2 linked regions of the Bombyx mori genome follow. The protein of the gene in region 1 purifies or fractionates together with the protein of each later gene. This does not show direct contact. Links are inferred from orthologs where the notes say so. Each region holds a gene or a part of one and is shown in the gene's direction. Other genes may lie near its edges. The genes, in order: rotamase Pin1 and DNA-directed RNA polymerase II subunit Rpb4.

Region 1 (4,604 bases):
TAATGGTGTAATAGTGTACAAATTATTTGCAATATAATTAGGTATATTAGCCATGAAGCAGAGTGTTTTTAATTAGCCCCTCATCAACCTACAAAACCCAATCCCCTCAAATTTAACCGTCCAACAAAATATAATTTTGGCTTTCGCCGAAAAACCCAAACATTCAAATAGTTTTACTTCCTACTAGGCTGCACTAAAAGTATCGGGAATGGAATATTTCCACTGTTCCTGTCATATTAAAATATTTTTAATTGAAAACTCCTTGGTTTTAAAAATCGAATACCATTTATTTATTTAAAAAAAGATTCTCGGTCTTGTCACGAGGTTTTGTCAAACTTGTTTAGTCGTTGAGAAAATGGAATTGACTCGAGAAAATTCAAGAGCGATGATTTATTATGACTTTCGAAGTGGTTTAACACAAAAACAGTGTGTTGACCGGATGATTTCTGCATTTGGTGATGAAGCCCCATCCAAAACCCCATTTTAGCGCTGGTTTGCTGAGTTTCAACGTGGACGTGTCAAGCTTAGTGATGATCCCCGTCAAGGTCGTCCAAAAACTGCAGTCACCCAAGAAAACGTTGATGCTGTGCGTAAGCTGATTGAGGAAGATCGACATATGACATACCGCGAAATTCAGGCAACTTTAGACATTGGCATGAGTCAAATACAAATAATCTTGCATGAACAATTAGGTGTAAAAAAGTTGTTTTCCCGATGGATACCGCATTCGCTCTGTGAAGAGCAAAAAGCGGCTCGCGTTACTTTGTGCGTCAGAACTCTCGAAAGATTCCACGCAGGATCCTCAAATGCTGTATACAACATTGTATCAGGTGACGAATCCTGGATATACGCGTACGAACCCGAAACAAAAAACCAGTCACAAGTTTGGGTGTTCGAAAATGAGTTAAAGCCAACAAAAATTGTTCGTTCACGGAGTGTTGCAAAAAAAAAAGGTGGCCACGTTTGTCTCCAAAACCGGCCATGTTACGACTATTCCTCTTGAGGGACAAAGAACGGTTAATGCAGATTGGTATGCTAGTATTTGTTTGCCACAAGTCGTTTCTGAACTCCGTAAAGAGAACTGCAACCGCCGCATCATCCTCCATCACGACAATGAGAGTTCTCACACCGCGCACAGAACAAAAGAGTTTTTAGCAAGAAAACATAGAATTATTAGACCATCCGCCGTACAGCCCCGACCTAAGCCCTAATGATTTCTATACTTTCCCTAAAATAAAGAATAAATTGCGTGGACAGAGATTTTCATCACCTGAAGAAGCTGTGGACGCCTACAAAACGGCCATTTTAGAGACCCCAACTTCTGAATGGAATGGTTGCTTCAATGATTGGTTCCGTCGTATGGAAAAATGTGTCAAATTTCGCGGAGAATACTTCGAAAAGCAATAAATACATTTTTAAATAGTAATGTTGTCACTTCGTTAATTCCCGAAATTTTCAGTGCCGCCCTCGTTTAATATACACCTACTGTCAATTTCATTCGTTTTATTCATCGTCATAGACAATTTGTACCTACACTGAATTCAACAGTCAACTGAGTCAACTTTGCGTTTCATTCTCTAATATATTAAGTGTATAATCTATGCGTTTCATCATTTGTCTCAAAAGGTTCGTAACGTTAAGAATTTTCTTCTACAATTAAGTAAGTAGAAATGCTTTCCATAAAAAGATAGAGTTCTTAATAAATTCAGATATTTCAAGGATTAGGTTAAAATGGTATGATAAATATGTAACAATTTTCAGGAAAACGTAAAAACCTATTGGCGTTCCCGGCACAACGCACCAACGACATGGCTTCTACTCAAGAAGAAATTCTTCCTGAAGGATGGGAAGCTCGCAAGAGTAGAAGTACAGGTAAATTATGCGTTTGCAATTAATACCTATTATGTTTCTTTTGTTAAAATAACATAAACGATTAATCAAATTTCTAATCAATCAACCTAAATCAATAGAATGTTATTGATTTCTAAGATAAAATGGCAGACATTGAGTGTAAAATGTTGGTAGGTAGATTTATATTTCTCGGATCGATATCGAAACAACGAAGACCATCTATGTGTTTATATAAATTTCATTGAGAAATTGTTTTGATTATTATATAGTGATTACTAAAAACTACTTTCAAACGTTTTTATTTTTGAAGTGCTTCAGTGAGTTTTTATTAACACTATTTACTGTTGATTCGGCGTCTTACGAGCCCGCGCTGTAGGAACCACCAGCCTGCCTATTCTTGTTAAGTAGCTATTCCTTTTTGGTTTGTAGGGTGGGGCAGTCATACAATTGACATCGAGACTTGCACCTCGTGTGTGATGTGTGGCGCTGTTTACATTATGATATTTGATGAGCTCTGCAATGTTTGCAGTGGAAACCATTTAACATTAGTGTGTGTTTTTTAATGTTCTCCATAGCATATAAAAATTAACTCAAATTTGTATGCAGTTGGAACAACGCCCCTAGCGGCAAACGTAGGCAAAGTTTCCAACTCCATACAAACTTAAGTTAACTTTTACGCCATCGAGAATGTTATAAAACTCGCGTTAAGCACAAAGATTGACTGTGAGCTTGTCGACACATATATACATACACATAAAAAAGTATAAAAGAACTGGTTCACAATATTAAATATTCAATTTAAGGTTTTGGGTATCACAGCCATAGTTAAAAAAATAATATAAAAAGCTGTTGGCATAAATTTGACTATGCGACTATTATGTAATATTTTATAATAAATACTTATTTTACCTGTTTAATTTTGTATTCACATTTTACAATTTTAACTGTCTGAAAAATTATTATATATTGTATTGTTTTAATCCCTACCAGTTTATAATTATTGTAATTGGTATCAACAATGATGCACTTGTAACAGCAGATAAATAGTTGTGACCAATTCAAATGGTCATCTGGTCTTTGGCTGGGATTGCTTTTGCTATTGGAACCAGAAACTATAGATTATCCCTTTCTGGCTGAGCCTGTGCTCGCCCACCTGTCCTGGTGAAATTGGAAGGGCTCCAGGCCACCAGTATTACTTCCCAAAAAAGCTATAAATTACATATTTTTTCTTTTTTTTTATAAGTCGATTAAAGCTAACAGATCAGTACATAATTATACACTAAAATTTTATACTTCCCATACAATTTTCTTAAAAACAAATCCATGATACAAATATAAAGGGTTGAAATAAGTAATGGGAATAATGCCGTAAATAATGCACTTTACCAACGTGGTATACTTTACCATCATAGTAATAACTTGGACTGCCCAAACTGTGAAATCTATACTAATATTATAAAGATGAAGAATTTTTATATTTGTTTGAATATTCTAATCTCAGGACTTATTGGACTTAATTAAAAAAATGTTTCAGTGTTTAGCCCATTTATTGAGGAAGACTATAGGCTATATAACGTCACATTAAGACCAATACAAGTGCAACACTAATAAACAATGTTTCAAAAACGGGGTGTTTTCCTTTTGAGAGGTTCTGCTGGTTAAAGTTAGCCAAATGAATGAATGACAGAATTGTTATCTTTAAAAGTTCTGAAATAGTCTACGGTAGCATAATAATGTGTCCATATTTTAAGGTTGGCTCACTATAACCTTTTTTATGTCAACAAAATTCTAAAATGAAGCATTCTTTGTGAAGGTGTTATTATAAAGATAATATTAATCCTTATCTGTATCCTTATTATCCTTAACACCTATCCATACAATCTTCTTATGTATTAGTGAGAATTTGTCCTGTTCACTGACAGGATGGACTAACATGTGAGTCAATTTTATGCTGAAATTTAATAGTTGATTCATTTTAGGAATGACATACTATCTCAATAAGCATACAAAAAAGTCTCAATGGGAAAAACCGGGTGGACCAGCTTCTGATGATGATGATGAAGATGATGATGATGAGGGTGGTATTCCCAAGGAGGTAAGATGCAGCCACTTGCTTGTAAAACACAGTGGAAGCCGCCGACCATCCTCATGGCGTGAAGAGCATATTACACGTACTAAGGAGGAAGCTCTTGATATATTACAAGGCAAGATATTGAATTAATATAAATTTTATTTATTCCCATCATCAACGGCAAATACAAAATAAGAATCAAATAATTTCTTTAAAAAATAAAATATCTATTAAGTTTAAACTTAATTGCTTTAAAAAAACACTTGTCTGTTCACTGTTGGAAGATTATTCTCAATGCATAATGCAAAATACAAATTAAATACATAGTAAAATATAGCTTTTTTTCTCTGTGCAAAATTAAGTCACTAAAAATAACATTTGAAAGTATTATTATTTTCAGAGTATCGCCGTAAAATCATTGACAGAGAAGCTAAATTTGAAGAGCTGGCAAGTACATATTCTGATTGTTCATCAGCAAAACGTGATGGGGATTTGGGTCGTTTCAAGAAAGGTCAAATGCAGAAACCATTTGAAGACGTCGCATTTTCCTTGAAAATAGGACAATTGAGCCAACCAGTTCACACTGACTCTGGCATTCATATCATTCTTAGAACTGCCTAAAGATTGTTTTCACAGTTAATACTACTTAAAAAAGTGTAAAACAATAATATCAAACTTATAT
Region 2 (4,350 bases), on another chromosome or scaffold:
ACTGAAATGCATTACTACTTCACGTCTAAAATAGGCAGGGTGGTGGTACCTACCCGTGCGGATTCACAAGAGGTCTTACCACCAGTATGTTTCAATAAATAATAATAATTTTCACCTGTCACAATTTTTTTTAGTTTGTACTCCTTTAAGAGTGATTCATATGTATTTTTAACACAAGCATGAATTCGGCCTACTGACCATGTCAAAATTACTGGCTGGTCAGTCGACTGCAATTTTGATAGTGAATCCAGTTGATTTTTTAGTATTTTTATACCTGAAATGAAACATTTAAATATGACATAGTTCAGTTTTGCATTAGAATTAGATTGATTAGAAAGTTAATGTATATTCCATTCCATTAAATTGTTTAAACTGTAACATTATTAAAAGTAGTCTCACATACTCCAATATTGTAGTTGATTGTTAGACTAACATACATCATTTTACTTACCCTCGATAATATTTTGAAAGCTATCTATAATTTCAACTAAGCCCTCAGTCAATGGCTTCAATAGGTGCGGATAATAATCATCATTATACTCGTGCAGTTTCACTGATGAGATCCCTTTACAAAACTTAGAACCTTTATCTTTTAGTTTGACCCAATCAATTAACAAACTATGAAACGAAGACACATGTGAAAATACAGTCTTTGATAAGCCTGGTTGGTCTTTATTTGGAGTTGTAATCTCTGAAATAATATCATTTATTAAATTACTTACTATTTCAATCGACATGGACAACAGAAATTTTGTTTGTTAAACTTTTTCTTCTTAATCGATGATGGGCAGACAAACTCACAGCCCACTTGATAATAAGTGATATTGATACCCAGCAACGTAACCATAATAGTTTATAAATCAAACTCTATGTAAATAATTACCTCTAGGTACAAAGTTGATAGCCAATTCTTTTATTGGAGTTTTGGACATTACGAACTTATTACTTAAATTTGAAATAAATATCTTTAGCCGAGTCTCTAAGTAGATAATAAAATTGAAGTGTTTTTGTTCTTCTTAATTTTTCAATATTGCAATTGGCTTACAGCCAGCGGTTACAAGACCTTCTAGTCCAGCTATAATATAATTTCTACGTAAAGAGCACGTAGAAATTCTAATCTGATAAATCAGAATTCATATGAAGCTAAATGAGATGAACTTAACTAATGTTAGTCTTTAAATTTGAGTGACATTATATGAAACTAGGATGTTTTATGATGCGTAAGCCGGATCGCACAAGAGGTGGGAAAAAGAAGATAGTCTGTGACACGGGACCTTTTTACCGCCGGGAGTCCGGGACTTTTTGGCGGGAACGCGAGGAGTGAAGTTGTGTGATTTGTTTTATTTTGTCGATTTAGTATTTCTTCAGGTTTAAATGTGTAATAACGGTGATTTATTAACTGTTTAATATCTGTGAAAGTTCACAAATGTGGGAAAATGCAACAAAGCCGCTGAACATAACTTCCCCGGAATCCTCCAAAAAGTCCACTGAAAAAAGGACATGGACCATACATTGCACGCCCCACTAAACGAACATCATCATCAGCTTATCTATTATTTATATTTATCGATTAAATATGTTAATATATTTTGCTAGTTTTTTGTAATACATTGTTTTCTTTAAGAAGATTTAATATGAATTATTTAAAATATAAATATATTTTACCCATGGCAGCTCCTTCAATATTATCAATGTAGCTTAATCATGCTTAAGTATTTCTTTTTATTTATGCTTTTGATTATCCCACCATTAAAATACCCTTAAATTTTATAATAAGTATGTAAAAATGAAATGTTTTTTTCTATAGATATTTTATTAATGTCCTTGAGGGCACGAGTAGCTGGGCCGAAAATGGCCCATGTCCTTTCATTAAATGACCACCATTTTACTGAGATTATATTTCATCCCATATCATCTCATCTCACTATATTTAATTTCATCTTACTTGATTATTGTCTCAAATTAATCATCTTCATTGCATTTCACTTCTTTCCATTATATAATTTTTCATAAAATTAAGAATATGAATTAAAATAAGACATGACCTAAAGGTCTTAGTTGAGCTGGACATAAAATACCCAAAAAAATTTTTTTTACCGCTGAATATTTAAAGGACGAAAAAAAAAAATGGTATAACTTAGAACTGTATAAGCCGCTGCAACAATAAAACTCCTATTGTTTCAAGTGTGGTGTTAATTACATAAAACACGATTTTCCCGCGAAATAAAGAAGGGACTTTATACGGACTCCCTCAATGGGATGAAATAAAATCGTCTCAGTAAAACAAGGATTATTAACTGAGAGTTCAGTGGACGTGACTAATGGATGCTCTGGATGAAATTTAATGAAACTAAATGGAATGAAACGTGTTAAGATGAAATAAATTAAAGATGTTCCAGTAAAATAGTGGGAATTTATTGACACTTAAGTATACTATCGAAGTAGTAGGTAGGTAGACTATCGAAGAACGTAAGATGTGCCGGGGCCACGGTAGTCAAAGTTGATCAGGTGATAATTGTGTAAGTGTGAAGGCTGGAATAGTTTCGACACAGGTAATTATTTTCATTTGAGAAGTAAGAATGGAAAATTTATCTAGTGGGTATTATTTTTCAATCATGCAACGTGGTGTTAAAATTTACATAAGCCAACTACTGTTCGCGATTTTGGAGCAATCTTTTTTCCGTGATAGTTCCCATTACAGAATCCTTTGCTAAATCGACTAATCTCCCTTTGCCTGTCCAAACTAGGGATGGTCTGTAACAGGTGAAATTAGAGACCTGTTCCACCTGTTCCTGTTCCAGCGAAAGAACAGTTCCAGTAGCCTGTTCCAATATAACAGCGTTTTGTTTTGCAACAGGTTTAATAATGTTTTAAATAGAATATGTCCACTTATAGGAACAGTTATAACATATGAAATGGTTTTAATACATTTTTTTAAATGAAAACAATCCTTCATGCTTTCTCAGGCTTAGGACTGACAACTGAATTTATTAATATTAATGATATGTGAAGCTAGTTTTGCCAAAATGTACTTAATACTTTAAATACTAACTAATATTGGCGAGGACTGCTCTCCCTCCGCGCCTCCGGTTTTTTATATACACTCTAGGGGTAGGGCAGACAAGACCAGGTGGAAAGTGATGTGCTCTGATTCGGTTTTCGATATTTTACGAATATTTTTGCAGTTTTATATCCAAAACACGAGCAATTTTACTGTTTTATATTTAAATCTTGTTTAAAAAGTTAATTTATTACAGAGACAGATTTTTTAGATGAGTGGACGAGCTCACAGCCCACCTGGTGTTAAGTGGTTACTGGAGCCCATAGACATCTACAACGTAAATGCGCCACCCATCTTGAGATATAAGTTCTAAGGTCTCAATTATAGTTACAACGGCTGCCCCACCCTTCAAACCGAAACGCATTACTGCTTCACGGCAGAAATAGGCAGGGTGGTGGTACCTACCCGTGCGGACTCACAAGAGGTCCTACCACCAGTAATTACGCAAATTATAATTTTGCGGGTTTCATTTTTATTACACGATGTTATTCCTTCACCGTGGAAATCAATCGTGAACATTTGTTGAGTACGTATTTCATTAGAAAAATTGGTACCCGCCTGCGGGATTCGAACACCGATGCATCGCTCAACACGAATGCACCGGACGTCTTATCCGTTAGGCCACGACGACTACGGGATTTTCCCGGGGATGAAATCCCGTCTTAACATTAGTACGGGTACCGCCTAAGGCGAGACTTTCGGCGCGCATCGCGGTACCGTAAGTTTCGTGTAGTCGGTGTGGTGGAGCTCGATGGGGTTTAGTCGGTAGTCGTTCTGCGGGGTAAGTGCTTCGCGCGCCTTTTTCAAGGCGTAGTCTCCTATGAGAAATTGGGGCAGGTGAAGGACCTCGGCCCTTCTCTTCTCCCCTTCTTCCTCTCAGGAGGCCAGGCCAGGAGGCGCCGGAGTCCGACATAACCCGGTCCGTTACCCCCCTCGACCGGGTAGCGTATTTCCATTTCCGTGTTCATTAGGAGGCAGTACTGCCTTGAAACACGCACGGGTTTGTCGCGCTAGCTTCCTTTACAAAATCGTGTTCAATTCAAGGCACGTGTCCTCAAATCGCGCACGGGTTTGCAACGCCAACTGCCCTTCTAAACACGTGTTCAATTCAGGGTACGCGTCCTCCAATCGCGCACGGGTTTGCAAGTATGCGCCTTGATTAAGCTCCACAAATCCGTGTTTGTTCGAAGGCACTTTTGTGTTTAATGAATAGGCAAGAAAACTCAAACAAAGTCTTTAACCTTTTATTAGGATCAAAATATATCTACACTCGGGTGCAATGAAATCGC

Evidence for each region.
Region 2: the proteins of rotamase Pin1 (region 1) and DNA-directed RNA polymerase II subunit Rpb4 purify together in Homo sapiens (co-immunoprecipitation; 3 studies listed by BioGRID and IntAct, with this or other methods). This does not show direct contact. The link is inferred for Bombyx mori from reciprocal best matches to the Homo sapiens genes PIN1 and POLR2D.

Annotation. Positions count from the first base shown.
Region 1 is NC_085107.1:9,297,068-9,301,671, forward strand, and holds the start of rotamase Pin1, read left to right. Parts: upstream 1-1,601; 5' UTR 1,602-1,660; intron 1,661-1,761; 5' UTR 1,762-1,808; coding exon 1,809-1,872; intron 1,873-3,830; coding exon 3,831-4,055; intron 4,056-4,322; coding exon 4,323-4,543; 3' UTR 4,544-4,604. UniProt on the Homo sapiens protein: Peptidyl-prolyl cis/trans isomerase (PPIase) that binds to and isomerizes specific phosphorylated Ser/Thr-Pro (pSer/Thr-Pro) motifs.
Region 2 is NC_085114.1:9,607,475-9,611,824, forward strand, and holds the start of DNA-directed RNA polymerase II subunit Rpb4, read left to right. Parts: upstream 1-1,268; 5' UTR 1,269-1,378; exon of another isoform or gene 1,379-1,387; intron 1,388-2,185; 5' UTR 2,186-2,552; intron 2,553-4,350. Other genes in the region: uncharacterized protein LOC119628842, read right to left, coding at 116-274, 452-691, 884-932. UniProt on the Homo sapiens protein: Core component of RNA polymerase II (Pol II), a DNA-dependent RNA polymerase which synthesizes mRNA precursors and many functional non-coding RNAs using the four ribonucleoside triphosphates as substrates.